2 linked regions of the Rhinolophus ferrumequinum genome follow. Each later gene encodes a partner of the first gene's protein in a complex. Links are inferred from orthologs where the notes say so. Each region holds a gene or a part of one and is shown on either strand. Other genes may lie near its edges.

The links. Proteins that work in one complex are often made in the same cells at the same time.
Region 2: the proteins of IZUMO1 (region 1) and IZUMO1R are in contact, whole or in part, in a crystal structure (PDB 5JKC), measured with the Homo sapiens proteins. The link is inferred for Rhinolophus ferrumequinum from reciprocal best matches to the Homo sapiens genes IZUMO1 and IZUMO1R. Residues at the interface, in NP_872381.2 of Homo sapiens: Met75, Val77, Tyr134, Val141, Leu146, Trp148, Lys150, Asn151, Lys153, Glu155, Val156, His157, Ala158, Arg160, Lys161, Ser162, Tyr163, Asn239, Ser240, Ser241, Pro242, Ile245; in NP_001186135.1 of Homo sapiens: Lys42, Tyr44, Glu45, Ile48, Leu58, Trp62, His65, Leu66, Asp67, Gly80, Leu81, Leu82, Met83, Pro84, Gly85, Arg87, Ile91, Met145, Ser146, Tyr147, Gln171.

What each region holds. Positions count from the first base shown.
Region 1 is NC_046298.1:44,187,618-44,195,659, forward strand, and holds the start of IZUMO1 (izumo sperm-egg fusion protein 1), read right to left. Parts: upstream 3,041-8,042; 5' UTR 2,973-3,040; coding exon 2,738-2,972; intron 2,406-2,737; coding exon 2,331-2,405; intron 1,951-2,330; coding exon 1,864-1,950; intron 1,417-1,863; coding exon 1,396-1,416; intron 1,092-1,395; coding exon 1,011-1,091; intron 827-1,010; coding exon 726-826; intron 466-725; coding exon 312-465; intron 9-311; coding exon 1-8. Other genes in the region: FUT1 (galactoside alpha-(1,2)-fucosyltransferase 1), read right to left, coding at 5,208-6,323. UniProt on the Homo sapiens protein: Essential sperm cell-surface protein required for fertilization by acting as a ligand for IZUMO1R/JUNO receptor on egg.
Region 2 is NC_046294.1:65,204,202-65,211,109, reverse strand, and holds the start of IZUMO1R (sperm-egg fusion protein Juno), read right to left. Parts: upstream 3,024-6,908; 5' UTR 2,956-3,023; intron 1-2,955. UniProt on the Homo sapiens protein: Receptor for IZUMO1 present at the cell surface of oocytes (oolemma), which is essential for species-specific gamete recognition and fertilization.

The sequences.
Region 1 (8,042 bases):
GGGCAACACTGATAGAGGAGGAGGGAAGAACAGTCCTGGGAAGGCATGAAGGTCCCGCCAAGGCAAACCCTCCCCTCAGCAACTTGCCCCAAACCCTGCAGGAGATAATCACGCGCCTCCAGCCTCCAATTGTGTGTAGCGGGAACAAACCCAGAGGGGAACCCTGCAGCTGTGGCCAGAGGCCACACCCAGGTCAGGAAGCCTGAAAACCCGATGGGGAGTTATGCCCCCATAGGCCACACCCCTGAAGCGGACCACCCCCAACCCCAGGACCCTGAAACCCATACTTCTTTCAACTCCCCAGCACTGACCTGTGACATGAAAACGGATGACCGTGGCCGGGCTAGATTGCACGGTGTCCAGCTGGCAGCGATAGGTGCCTGCATCCAGTGGGTCTACCATGATCTTGGTCAGGGTAGGCTCTTTCCCCTTGGACACCAAGGTCTCAGACTTGTTCCTCCAAACCTAGACCCAAGCTCAAGGGGTCACAGAGGCCTGGGGAGTTCAGGGGTTGGGGGAGTACAGGGGTAAGAAGATCACGGGGCCTCAAGGGGAGATGGGAGTCCTGAGTGTACTGGTCAGGGCATGGTGTCACCGGGGTGAGTGGGAGCCAAATCTGGTAGGTCACGGGTCATGGGGATTGTGGGTGCAGGCCTGTGGATACAGGGTTCACACAGGCCTGATGGACTTGGATTTCAAGGGTTACAGGAGTTGGAGGGCCCCACCCTGTAAAAGCTGTAATCGGTCAGGCCTTGAGAGGCATGATGCCAGTTGAGCTCACAGTCCAGGATCATGTCTTCCATTTCATGGACCTTGACTTTGCGCTCTGGGGATAGGGGGTTACTGTAGGAAGCCCGTTGGGTTCTCGGCCTTCCCCCAACCTCCATCCACTAGGTTGGCCCCTCTCTTTCTCCTCTGCTGGCTCTAGTCTCCGCCCTCTCTAGACTCAGTCACTCCTCTGGCTCCGCCCCTCTTGCACCAACCCCTCCTGCTGGACCCAGCTCTCTCACCCCCGCAATCCAAGGACTTCCGACAAGCGTGAACCTGTTTCTTGCAGTTACTGCACCAGATCAGCGTCTGCAACATCATACCTGAAGGGGCAGGGTCAAGGGGGTGTTTTTCCCGACTAGCAGGCGGGGCTAAAAGGAGAGGGCAGGGCCAAGGGCGGGGCGGGACTAGAGCGCAGGCCTGTGGGAAGCGGAATCTAACCAGTGCGAAAGAATGAGCTGCGCTCGCCAAGAAGGCTTTGGGTGCGGGAGGAATACTGGAGACCTAGGAACCTCCCAGACGCGGAGAATGAAGAAACACCAAGACCCAAAAGGGGGAGGAGAAAGGCTGGGTATTCACGGGGCAAGGATGAGGGAGAGAGAACCGGCTCCCATGATCCGAACTCACCACATTCGTTGGGACAAAAATCTGCCTCCGCAGAAAGAAAAAAATGAGGATCAGATTTTTAAGTTAAAAAGGATGAGGGACGGGGCAAAGGAAGAGGCTGAGGCTGGAACTCCTGGCTTTGAGGGAAGAAGGACCTGGGGGCCTGGATCCCTGGGTCTGAGTGGGGAGAAGGTTGGGAGAGCTAAGGGGCTGGGGACAGGGACTCTCGGCCTGTGGAAGGAGGGGGGCTGGGGTCCGGGACTCCCATCTTCCCTCACCCTCTTTTTGGAAGTGAGCAAAGGAAGAGGCTGGGGCTGGAACTCCTGGCTTTGAGGGAAGAAGGACCTGGGGGCCTGGACCCCTGGGTCTGAGTGGGGAGAGGGTTGGGAGAGCTGAGGGACTGGACTTCAGAAGAAAGGGGCTGGGGACAGGGACTCTCGGCCTGTGGAAGGAGGGGGGCTGGGGTCCAGGACTCCCATCTTCCCTCACCCTCTTTTTGGAAGTGAGCAGCATATCTGGCAAAGGTATCCTTTTGCAGGTGCAACATCCAGAATAGCTCTTTCACGAAGAGCTCACCTAGGAAGAAGCAGGATGAAACAAAGTGGTCCCCTCCCCCACTTCCAAGTGCGAGGTACAGGAAGTTTGCCTCAGTCTGCTGCTCCGGTATTCCGCTTTTGGGCCTTCTCAGGGAAGGACAGTGAAACTGAAATGACCACCTAACATAATGGCTAAGCAACAAATGGGGTGAGGTCACTGATATGGTCTCCATTTTAGAGGTGAGGAAGCTGCAAAATCCCTTGCTCAAGGCCACACAGCTAGGAAGTGGCAATGCCAGAATTTTAACCTAAGCAGTCTGGCTCCAAAACTCAGTATATGACCCCCAGACCAAGCATCACCAGCAGCAATCACTTCCCTGGGATTCTGGAGCCCCTCCCATGTCCCCTCCGTGCATTTACCTTTTACTTCACTATCCGTGATGCGTTTCAGATCCTTCAGCAAACTCCAGGATGCCTTCTCCAGTGTGGGCTCATCTATGGGGAGAGATAGAACGCCAGGTTCCAGTATTGTCTCATTGCCTCACCTAGTCTTAGAAACTACAATACCCATGGGTACGGATAGGTCTGGTTAAGGGATTACCCTCCCGTTGCTTTCTGGGAGTTGTAGTTTTATTACAATTGCAGGCTAGGGCTATGGGAACACAGTATTTCCTAGCCCCGGGAACCCCGAAATCTGTACCACAACCTGTTCCATTCCCGAACACAGGAGACTCTGCTTGCAGCCTTCTTCTCCCTACCCCCAGCAGTCCTAGCCCCAGAACCCTCTTTTCCCAGGACCGGGGGTCCGGGCTCCACCTTGCCCTCACCGACGACCCCCAGATAGGAATCCTCGTCAAACGGCAGTTCCTTGAAATCCTGCAAGGCCTGCTTTACCCTTTTCATCAAGTTTTTGTGGTGCTCGGCCCCCAGGTGGCCAGGCAGGTAATCCATCTCCAAGTTGTTTAGCGCTTCCACGACTTTTGTATCACACAGGACACAAGTCCGGGCAGGAAGCAGGCAGCTGGCCAGCGCCGCCACCAGGAGGGGAAGCCGCGGCCCCATTGCCGCCAGAACCCCTGGAAGAGTCCTCTCACCCCAAACCGAGAGGAAGTGAGGGCTAAACGGAGAGATGCCCTTCCCGAGACTAATGGACCCTAAATTTACAGGGCGCACACTTCTTGTTAGGAAACCGAGGAATCCCATTGCACCCTCGACAACTGCTGCCCGACCGTCTCTCCAGGGTGATGTATCCTCGAACACTAGGGCTCGCTGAAGAGCCGAGTCCGGCTTCTGAGGGCTTTAAGAGAGGAGGACCGAGCCACGTCCCTCCACACTGATATTTTCCCACTACTAAAATTAAGGGTTTTGTTGGGGATACGGTTTGTAATAGAGAGCATTTGACTGCGGTTAGAGTCACGGTTCGCCCCTATCTACAAGGAACTCCCACAGCCTCCACCATATAGCTTCCCACGTAAAACCCCTAATTCGCAAAAGATAGTCCCTGGGGGCTTCCCTGGCCCCGCCCGGAAGCCCAGTTCTGAGTCCGATTGGACCGCAACAAAGGGAGGCCCCGCCCACTCCTCCTTGATGTCACAGAAGCAGCCGCCTTTTCAGACCGGAAGTTTCGCAGCATCTACTGAGGTGGAAGTATCCTGTCTTCTCTAGCTTTCCAGAAACGAGGAACGAAATTCTGCGCTTCAGCTTCCTCCTCTCCCTGGGCCCCAGGACCCAGGCTTCCGGTTGGAAGCCCAGGACCCTTTGGGAAGCCAGTGATTGAGCCATGAAGACGCGCGAAGTGGCCCTTCCCAGCCCTAGGACTACGATTCCCAGAAGACCCCGGGGTCTCCATAGCTGATTACCGCAACCAACCCCATACCTTTATGGGAAGTGTAGTTCAACAGTTACACTCTGTGCACACTTCCTCCCCCACTTTCTCTTCCAGCCTTTGGGGCTGCACGTCAAGGTTCCAAAGGAAATCGGTCTGGGGGCCGATACTGAGAGTCCGGAGAAAGGAACTGCGGCTCAGAGACCACAAATCCCACAAGAGGCGGCCAAATCTGAGCAGGAACAATACCCTAAGATATGAGTCATGAGAGTCCTTGGAAGTTCTGAACTTTTCCCCCTACTCATTCACTCACTCACACACTCATGCACACAAGACTCAAAAAAAAAAAAGAAAAAGAAAAAGGAAAAAAGCCTACAGAGACAGGAGTTGGTGACGTAGACTTTTAATCCATACCTCCCTCTCTCACTATGGCAGCTGAGTAGGAAAAGTCTCCCAAAACTCCCTGAAAAGACTAAAAAAGAGGCTTAGATTCTTAGACAATTCTGCAATAAAAGATCTACCTTCACCCCCTTCAAAAAGCATCAAGGGGTTCCTGAAATCTGAGTCAAGAATCCCATCCTCCTTGGCCAGACCCTGGCCAAGAGTGCTCCTGCTTGGGTTTGAGGCCTGTCTGCATACCTTGGGATCTTTCCATCCCTCATTTGCCCAAAGCCAGATTTAGCAGACAGACCATGGTTGGCAAGGGGCGTGATACCGGTGGCTTTCTACAAGCCCAAAGGTCATGTTTATGTTGATTGACCTCCAGAAAAATCCATCCCATCAACCCCAGCAGCCCAAAGTCTTTGTGTGTTTTTTTCAGGGGCTGAGAGGATGGATAGAATTCCACTCTTCTCACAAACTGTCACAGCTATACATAGTTTATCTTCCATCAATCTTCCTGGCAGTGGTGAGGTATTGAGCTTCTGGTTGTACCTTCATTCGATTTTTCACCAAAGTTATCTGGAATTCCAGAACCCTCTCCCCTCTGCAAGGGCCCTGCAGGGTTCTTCACAGGCATTAGAACTGGTCCCCTCTAGAACAAATTCCCATCTAGAACCAATCCAGAAACAGAAGGAGAGTTGGTGAGTGCTTGCTCTAGAATTTCCATGAGTTTCTTCAGTCCTGATGACTGAGGAATGGAGAAACATCTCTTCTAGAAAAGACCAGAATGATCAACACTAAAGAGGGGAGTTCCTGGTTCCTGGGTGGGCAGCCATCTAAAAGTACTCTGGATATAGGCTTGGAACTACAGGTGGGCACTGTGCCTTGCAGAACTGTCATGAGTCTCCCCAGACATTGCCAATCATCAAGAAAATGTCTTCTGCTGGTTCTAGAATGTTCAGGCAGTTGCAGGTAGCTCTGAGCCAATTAGAATCACTCTAGAAATGGGTGCCCATCTGCTGCCGGACCACCACAAGCTTCTCCAGAAGCTGCTAGGATTCTGGAGACGCACAATGCTGGCCCTAGATCGATCAGGCTATTCCAGAAAGACTCCTCCGCAGTTTCTGGAGTGGAGACAAGTCTGCATTAATGCCCACCCACTCAGGCAGGAAGGCAGCCTCCGGCTTAAAGATCCTGAGAAAGCTGGAGTCAGGCAGGGTGAAGTTGGCCAGGTAGACAGTGTCTCCACCGGCCAGGTAGGCGGCCCAGAAGCCAAAAGTGCCAATAGTCATAATGGTGTGGTTGCACTGTGTGAGCAACGCAAAGTCCTTCTCGGGTGACTCCTCCTGCCCATCACCAGCAAAGATCACATCCCCCTGGGAGGGGTTGATGTTTTCCCGGCACCACCCCATGCCGTTGCTGGTGACCACAAAGATGGGGGCTTCATGCCGCGCCCGAAACCAGTCCATGGCCTGCTGGAGGTAGACGCCATCGCCCACCACACCCTTCCAGCGTTGAGGCATAACCTCCAGGTAGTCCCCACGGCGCACGTGGACACCCACGAAAGTGCGCGGGAGGACCCCAGTAGCCGGCAGGCGGAGCTGTCTCAGGAAACCTTGGGCCTTTTCCCGAAGGTGGTCATGCAGGGTGAACTCACTCCGGATCTGTTCCCGGAGATGGTGGAAGAAGGTCCAGGAGCAGGGGAAGCCAGTGAGCTTCAGCAAAGGGTCCTTCAAGTGGGCGTACTCCTCTGACATCCAGTCGTGCAGCTGCAACTTCCGCCAAGGCGTGTGGCTGTCCACCTCAGGCGCCAGCACAGGCAGGGTGATGCGGAACACGGGAGCCAAGGCAGCGTGCATGTCCGGCAGGATAAAGGCCCGGCGGCCATTGAGCTGAGCCAGGGCAAGCAGAGTGGCGTACTGCCCCATCTGATTACCCAAGCGGCCCGCTGGGGAGATAGTCCAGGTGCCTGAGAGGGAGGCAGGGTTCTTGGCACAGGAAGAGGAGGTGTTGGTGCTCATTGGCGTGCCTGACAGGCAGAAGATGGCCACAGGATTTGTCAGCAGGTGTCGGTCTGCAAATAGGGCAGATAGGTCCAGGCCGTTGTGAAAGAGGTCTTGAGAGATGTGGAAAAATAAGACTGATGAAAGAACACACACTAGGAGGAAGGTCAGACAGAGATGCCGCCGCCGGCTGAGGGCCCACATGGCTGCAGGGGATAAAAAGTGAATTAGCAGAAACTCAGAGCTGGAGGGCCCCCAGCCTCTCTTCCCTCAGACCCAGGAGTCCAGGGAGCAGGGGCCTGATGGAACGAAGGAACTGAGGGTTTGGACTCCGGGTCTGAGGGAAGAGCAGCTAGAGACTTGGAATTTGGGGGGGTGGGGTGGGCAGGGATGGGAGACGGTGAAAATTGCTGAATTCCAAGATAGCAATGGTCCAGGGTCCATAATCTTGTCCCCCTATCTTTCAATCTCACGCTTCCCGCCTATAAGGCTTACTGAAGTTGGGCTGTGTCCCACCAACTCCTTTCTCAGGTGTATTTTTGTGTAAGGGGCAGTCGACCACAGAGGTGACAAGCAACAGGTCAAGTAGAACATGAGAAGCTGGAGGGCCAGGACTGATAACAGACCTTGATTCCTGGAGGAGCAGGAGTTGGGAGTGGGGTGGGGTGGGGGTGGAGGAGACTCCTGGGACTGAAGACGCGATTGCTGGATTTGGGGTATCCGCAGTTGCCACTAACCTGAGCTTCTGGCGGGTGGCAATACACAGTATGACAGAGAGCGCCGTCCCCAAGATCAGTTCACATCCGGTCGCCACGGAACCGTGGACTCCGAGTTCCCAAAACCCGCAGCCCTTCCCTCCACGCCGCCTCCAGGGACTGGCAGCGAGGGCTCCGCGACGAAGGAGAGTGGGCGCGGTCGCAGGTTCACAGCCTCTGCACCTCCGCAGCCAGGCAGACACCTCGGAAGCGGAGCCCCGCCCCTTCCCTGGGGACCCGACCAGGCGCCCCGGGCTAGGGTGGTAGCCCTCGCGCCCAACCCTCTCCAGACCCGGAGGCGCTCCCCCCTCTCCCTCCTCCTCCCAGGCACCGGCCAGCGAGAGGGCTCCGCCCCCGGCATCCTACCTGGCCACCTAGGAGCCGCGTCGTCCATCTGTGGATGTGGAGATCTAGCTCCCAGCTGCACTGCTGGATCCTGGCGTTCCGGTCCGTCAACCTCTCCCTCTTCCCCGCCGGTGCCTGGTTTACCACCTGCCGGGTGTACTTGGATGCGTCGAGCCCCTCCACGCCCCAACTGCTGGAGTGGGGCCTGAAACCCGGCCCCGGCGGGGAAGGCGTCCCGGATTACGTCCTCCGGGTGGGACTGGAAAACCTGTTTGCCAGGCTGCTCCACGAGGGGATGGCAAGCCTCCTCCAGTTCTCAGGGCCGCCCATCAGGGGCCGCTGACCCCCCCCCCCGACCCTGTTCACCCGCAAATTCGAGAGTCGAGGCCCCCAGACTCCTTTGGGGGAGATTCTAGCTCTGGCGCCTAACTACTGCTTTCTAGAAGGGCACGTCCCGGAGGCAGCATCTCCCGAGGAAGGGAACGGGAAGAGTTCCTCATCTTTGCCTGTCGCAGAGGCCAGAGCCCCGCGCGGGAAGGCTTCCGCCCCGCAGAGCTGAAGCTGTTTGTGTTTTTGAAGGCTCCTTCCCTCCTCACCCACCCTGGCCTGAGCAGTCTGACCATTGTCATTCAATGACTCAAAGACTCTGGAATTTGACTTGACTTCCATTTGACTCTAATTCTTTCAGGCCCAGGGCTGGGGTTTGGGAGTCCTCAGATTGAGAAATCCAGGCCTCCAGCGCCTTCCTCCTTCAGAACCAGTGTCCCATCTCTGCACCCTTAGGTTCTAGGAAATTGCCCACCCCTCATTCCCTTTGGGTCTT
Region 2 (6,908 bases), on another chromosome or scaffold:
TATGGGTAAAGACAGCTACTGAAGAATTTTGAGCGCAGGAGTTGCATAAATCAGTTCTGCATGCTGGAAATATTACCAATAATGAAGAAGGTGAATTAAAAGAGTACACTGTGAGCAAGGGAATACGTGGGAGGCTAACGCAATACTCAGAAAAGAAATGAGAGCCTCAATTACGGTGATGGCGGGGCAGTGGAGAGAAGGGGGTAAAATCAATAGACCTGGAGATTGAGTGGCTACGACAGGTAAGCCTTAACTACCTGGAGAAATGCTGAAGAAGGATGGAGAATTCATTCAGTATTGGACATGTGGGGTTTGAAGAACCACAATCCAGCCAATCTCTAATCCATTCCGTCTGTAGCCCAAACTATTCATCCTAATGGACACATCTGATCAGGTTATTCAAAAAATATTTCAGGGTTCTTTTTCTGACCCCAATCTACCTTTTCCACCACTTTCTACCATGAATTCATACCTTGGACCCACCTTGGAGTTCATTCTTGCCCAAACATGCTAATGAGCTCGCAGGCAGCTGTGCTTTTGTTTATGAGGTTGCTGGTGCCTGAACACGTTTCCTGTCTTCTACTTTGTCGCTGGAACACTACTCATCCTTTAGAACGTAGCACAAATGTCGGTGAAGCCATCTTTAATACCCCTCTCAACAAACATGGATTGAAGGAACCATTTATTTCTTTATATCAGATTTTTCATATCTATATTTTAACACTCAACATAATCTGACTTGAACACTCTACTGTCTTTGTATCTTTTCTGAAAATCAAAAATTATTCCAAATAAAAAGTTTATTTTTAAAAAGTGCCATAAATATTCTGATATGCCCCTAAGGTGGAGGAGAACCACAGTCCTAGGGTATCAGAACAGTCAGATTGGACCCAAACAGATCTGAACATTAGTCCTGCAAAGACTTTTAAAGGACCTTTAGACATTTACTTAAAGTCTCGAAACATCTATTTCCTTATCTTTAAAAGGGGAATGATACAGCTCTAGGGTTGTTATGGGAATGAATTGGGATGGCAAAAATCTAAAATGTTTGCCCCATGCCTGGGATATAGTAAGTGCTCAATAAATGATGATGAAGATGATGATGATAACAATAATTAATAATATAATTAATATATCATTAATTATTGTTATTAATTATTATTATTATTTTATTATTATTAGCTATTCTTGGAAGCCCCAAACAGTAAAGCTAATCCATCTTCCACAATCCAGCTGATTAAGATGTTTATATGGAATCTCTAAAAACTGAAGAGGTAAGGATAAGGCATTGTAAAAAAGAAAAAAGCAAAAGCCCTATACATCATGTGAGATAACATGACAAAGCCCCCAGCACAGTGCCTGCAACACAGAAGGGGCTCCATAAAGGTTTTTTAAATCTGCAGATGGAAATTGTGAGGTTGATCAGAAGGCAAGACCCTAAAGGACCACGTGCTTGCAAGGCAAAACCCAGCCAAACTGTGAAATGTTTCATCAGCTTCTTCGCGGCTTCATCTCTACTCCCTTAGGTGAAGGCAGGATTTCACCTGGCAGAGAGCCTGTGGGCAGCCCAACTCCTTGGTTCTATTACTATACAGCCCCTCCTGTCCCGAGAGAAACATCAGTCCTTCAAGGTCTAACAGGAGTCCGACCAGTTCCAGGGAGCCTGCCCTTTCTAACTCCAGGGTTCTTTAATACTTTCCTTCTCAGGAAAGCCCCTATAAGTATCAGAATAGAACTAACAACCAGTGAATGTGGAAGCCCATTAAAGACACAGATAAATGATCAGGCAGGTGAGTGGTGGCACCTCTAAGGCAGAGGTTCTCAGTCTTGACTTCATATTGGAATCATCAAGGCAGCTCTGAAAAATCCCAACACCCAGACCCAACCCCATTAAATCAAACCCACTAAATCAGAATCTTGAGGGATAGTGACCAGACATCAGTATTTTTTAAAAGCTCCCCCCAGCATCTTTTAGGTGCAGGCAAGGTTAAGAGTCACTGACCTGAGGGCGTCCCTGGGCCAGTTGCCCAACAGAATACGAACAGGCGATCCTGAGCTTCCGCCTGAGTACCCATCTCCTCTCTCCCAGCTGATGTCCACTGTGTCTCTCCACCCTCACCTCAATGCTGGCCATACTCCCATTCAGCTGTTGGGGTTTATCCATCCCAATATCTGGTAACTGAGCTGATTTTACCCTGTAATCCTAGCCTTACCTTTCAGGTTGGCCATGACTCTCACCCCCACTCACTCTAGCCATGACCTTCAGGCTCCATCAAGCTTGGAGAAGCAAATAGACTCACCTAGCTTTGTATGCTACCTTTTATGATTCTCAAATTACTTCTAGAAAGTCTCACTTTCTTAAAGAGACTTTAAACTCCTCAAAATCAGAGTCCTATCTCCAGGAGGGACTAGCATACAGTGGAGCATACTGTAGACAGAACCTTATTCTCTTTATTTGTAAAATGGGAATGTTTATGAAATTATCTGCGAAATGACGATATCTACAAAATTTGTAGATATGCAAATTATAGCCTATTTGAAAGGAGATGTTTGAGATGACACAGAAAAGGTGCCCAGAATGATCTGAAACACACAAGTGCCCCATAAGTGGTGGCTATTGTTGCATCAGTAATAGGTCATGTGACTTCCAGACCAGTGCTTCTTCTGTGTCTTAGCAAGTGACCAGTGACCAAGAGACTTCATACTCTTAAAGTTGTAATGTGGAAGTGCTAAGTGATTGGCTTCACTGATTGGCTGCTAATTGCAGTCTCAGCTCAGGAAATGAACATTTTGCCCAGTGAGTTTCGCAAAGCCATTCATCATGAGAATTTTATGTCAAAATGACCTACCAGAAAACAATAATGCCTGAGTCATTCAGAGTACTAATGGTATGACACAGGGACTCCATCAGCCATATCAGCATGCCTGGGAACGTCATGTCAGGCTAATGCTTACCTTGCTCTGTGAAAGACGACGGGCTGGGGTCAGCTCTTTCTCCTCTCCATTCTGCCTGGCTCTTCTGAGAAGACTGTGAAGACCTGCTGTTCTGGACAGTGTGCCATGTGGGCAGCTTTGCTTTGTCACTCAGCAGGAGAAAGAATACACGCTTTGTGTTTTGTCATCAAAGGAAACGACTCTCTGATGTTGCAGTGTTGCCAGAGAGAATGCAGAACTTTCCAAATCCAGCCTCAGTTCAGTTTCTTCTGTTAAGAAGAATGAATAGTTATCAGGTTGGAAAGAGTAAAGTCGTATTAGCCTGAAGGTATAGAGATCCAGGAGAAACAAACATCATAAGAAAGTTCAGAATTCATCGATGTGACTGCGAGACCTCCCCTGGTAGAATATTTTCTATTGTGCTGGGAGAGGTTGCAATTGATATTTTGGAACGTTTGTTGGTGCCTCAGGGAAAGTGGGTGGAAGAGGAGTTCAACACAAAGAAGGCCAGGGTTATCCCATCTATTTTACTTAAGGACACTAGATGCTGTAATAGCTAAACCCTGCAGTCTCAGTGGCTTAACACAATACAGGGTTACCTGTCTCTGTGGCACAGTCTGGTCTGGGTGGCATGGCCCAGCAGCCTTTCACATAAACCTACAGGAACCCAGGCTCTTTCCATTCTGTGGTTCTACTCTCCTCATGGAGGTCAGACTTTTTCCCATTCAACTCGTAGATGGGGACAGAGACTATGAGAAAGGTACCTCTGCTTCTTATCTGCTTCTGCCAAGAAATTACACACATCACTTCTGGCCATATTTCGGTGGCCAGAGCCTAGTCACATGGCGACACCTGATAGTCTAGCTTTGTGCCCAGGAGGAAAGGGAAATGGGTTTGATGTGACAAAGCAGCAAACTGAAAACATAAAGTTAACTGAAATAGAAATGTCAGACCACAGTACCAGAGCAAATCTTGTTCCTCCTGAACTACTGGTTTTGTTTTGTTTGAAGACTCTGAATCTTATTGCTGATTCTTTGGCCACTACAATGTGATTTACAATGTGCTTCTATATATAATCTTTTTCTTCTGGCCTTTTATTTCAGTTCTACATTTATTTCTTCCTTTCTCAGATTTTTTAAATCAATTTTGTGGAGTTGGATTTGTGTATAAAGCAGATGCTTTTGGGCTCCTGTTTTTGGGGTGAAGCCAAATCAAGATTCAAAGTTTGGTTGTTTGCTAAGGATTTTATGAATTTGTTCTGGGCTCTTCTGGGATCTAGTTTCATGAATTAATAGGAAGAGTGTTTGCTTTTTTGTGTGTTTGGAAGGAGAACAGGGAAATGAAGGCAGGGGAGCTGTGTGCTCTGGTGCGTGAGGAGACAATCAGAAATGATGCCCACAGAAGGAGTGGTCCTAGCCCAGATGTGAGCCTCTGCACAAATGCTTAGGACCTCAGGCTGCAGGGGTTGGCTCAGGACAAACTTTGTAAAACGAGGCAGTATGGTGACAAAGTGCAACCAGATGGAGAGCAAGGGCCTAAGTCCCTTCCACGGCCACAAACCACAGTGCAGCGTTGCCATGGAAATGCAGTGAGCCTACTAGCAGAGAGTATGCTCAGGGTGTCACCAGCCACAGAGGTGGTGAGGTGTGGCCCCATGTAAGCAAAGGCACAAAAGTGTGAATCTGGTCTTTCCTCCCAGTGGGAGAATCTCTCCTAAGGAGCTCCTGAGTTTGTTATTTTTTGGTGTGATTTTCAAAAGGCACTGAGGTTCCCCATAAACAGGTAGAGAGAGATCGCCACTATAATTAACAGATTAAGGCTGGAGTGGATATGACATTCTTCATACTTTCAAGTTGGTGAGAGGCTTGGGAAATCCCAGTTTCATTTATTTTTGTAAGTCACTTTGAACATTTTGTAAATGAGATCAGGTTTGTCATGAGTTTATGTCTCCCCCAGAAAGATATGTTGAAGTCCTTACCCTTGGTACTTGTGAAATGTGACCTTATTTGGACACAAGGTCTTTGCAGATGTCATCAAATTAGGGTGAAGTCATCAGAGAGATCCCTAATCCAATATGACTGGTGTCCTTATAAGAAGAGGAAAAGAAACAAACAGACACAAGGAAAAAGAAAGCAGAGGTTGGAGTGATATATCTACTAGCCCAGGAACACCAAGGATTGCCAGCAATCACCATAAACTAGGCAGAAGAAAGAAAGGATCCTTCCCTAGAGCCTTCAGAGAAAGAATAGTCCTGGCAACACCTTGACCTTGGACTACTGTCCTCTACAACTGTGAGAAGATACATTTCTGTTTTAAGATGTGCAGTTTGTGGTCATTTGTGATAGCAGCCCTAAAAAACCAGTGCGAAGCTGTTAATAATTATTAAAATGAGAAAGTAGAAGCACAGCAGGCATAAATGTCTGGCATTTCTGTTTGACAAATACTTTTGCATCTCTGCCTTCTCTTGTGATCAGTAAAGAATAGAGGAAGTGACCAAAGAAGCCCCTTAATCCTTCAGAATTAAAAGCGTGGTCTCCACTCAGACAAAGCAATGCCAATTAATCATTCAGCCACTGTAGCCAATTTCCCCATGAAGGAATTAAAAAAAAAATAATAAAAATACTGCCCAGACAAGCTCCTTTCCAAATTGAAAATGAGTGCTTATATTTTATTCCTTTGTAGTCTGGCATAATATCTTTGCCCTAGTTTATCTACTGCATTTCAAATATTGGAGTGGGCAAAGGGCATTCAGGAACATTCTGGGGAAAGCAAAATACTTCTGTAAGACCAGCAGCTGAGAATGAGAGTATCTTACTCCTTCCTGTACCACCAACTTTGCAGCACCTGACGTGGTATAGATGCTCGATAATTATGATTAATTTATCTGTACCTGTTTTTCTCCTACTAGAAGCAGGAACAGTGTTTTATTTGTAGCCAGCTCTGGTAGCTATTGTTTTAATCTCTCTAATGTGCTTTCCTTACACCTCTCTGGTAAGGGGGGTCCCCTTCCTTTGGGGACCTCTTCCTACTCCACATGGTCCTGGTGGGCTTTCACTTATGATGATTTCTCCCATTCAGTGGGGTGGACATGTGACCCAGACAGAATATGATGTCCCTTCAAAGCCATGCATTAGTCCAACGGTGAGCACGTGATTCAAGGTCAACTATCAGAGTCCTTCATAAAATTCTCTGAATTGGAGGGGGTAGGGTAACCATTTTTCTTGGATTCTGCGATGAAAGAATGTGGCTTTTGATCTACAGTAGACCTCTTCTCTGATACCAAGTAAATCTGTCTTCAGAAAAAAGAATGATGCCAAGACACAAGGACAGTCAGAGACAAGCAGTGCTGCACAGAGTGAGGAGACTTGAGTCCCCTACTGGACTCACCCTTCTGGGTGAGACCTTAGCTCTGATACTTCCTCCTTTGGTTATGTAACCTCTCCTGTCCACCGGCAAGCTATGTAATCCAATAAGTCCTGCTATTTTATTAAGCTAGTTTGAGCTGGATTTCTGTTGCTTACTACCCAAAGAATCCTGAAGTATGCACACACGGTTATATACTCAATGCCCATTGCAAATATTAATAATAGAAAGCATTTATATGTGCTTGTAATGTACCAGGCCTTGTTGAAAAACTTCATGTATATTAATCCATTCAAAAGTAACACCATGAGGTAAATACAGATGGTCCCCAACTTAAGACGGTTCGGCTTAGAAGTTTTCGACTTTGCGATGGTTTGAAAGTGATACACATTCAGTAGAAACTTCGAATTTCGCTCTTTCCCCTGGATAGTGATGTGCAGTGTGGTGCTCTGTCACAGGGTTGGGCAGTGGTGGCAAGCCACAGCTCCCAGTCAGACACGCCACCACAAGTGTAAATAACCGGTGCTCTGCAGCGTAGTATTAAACGCGTTTTCGACTTATGGTATTTTCTTTTATTTTTTTATTTTTTTCATTTTTCTGGGACTTATGGT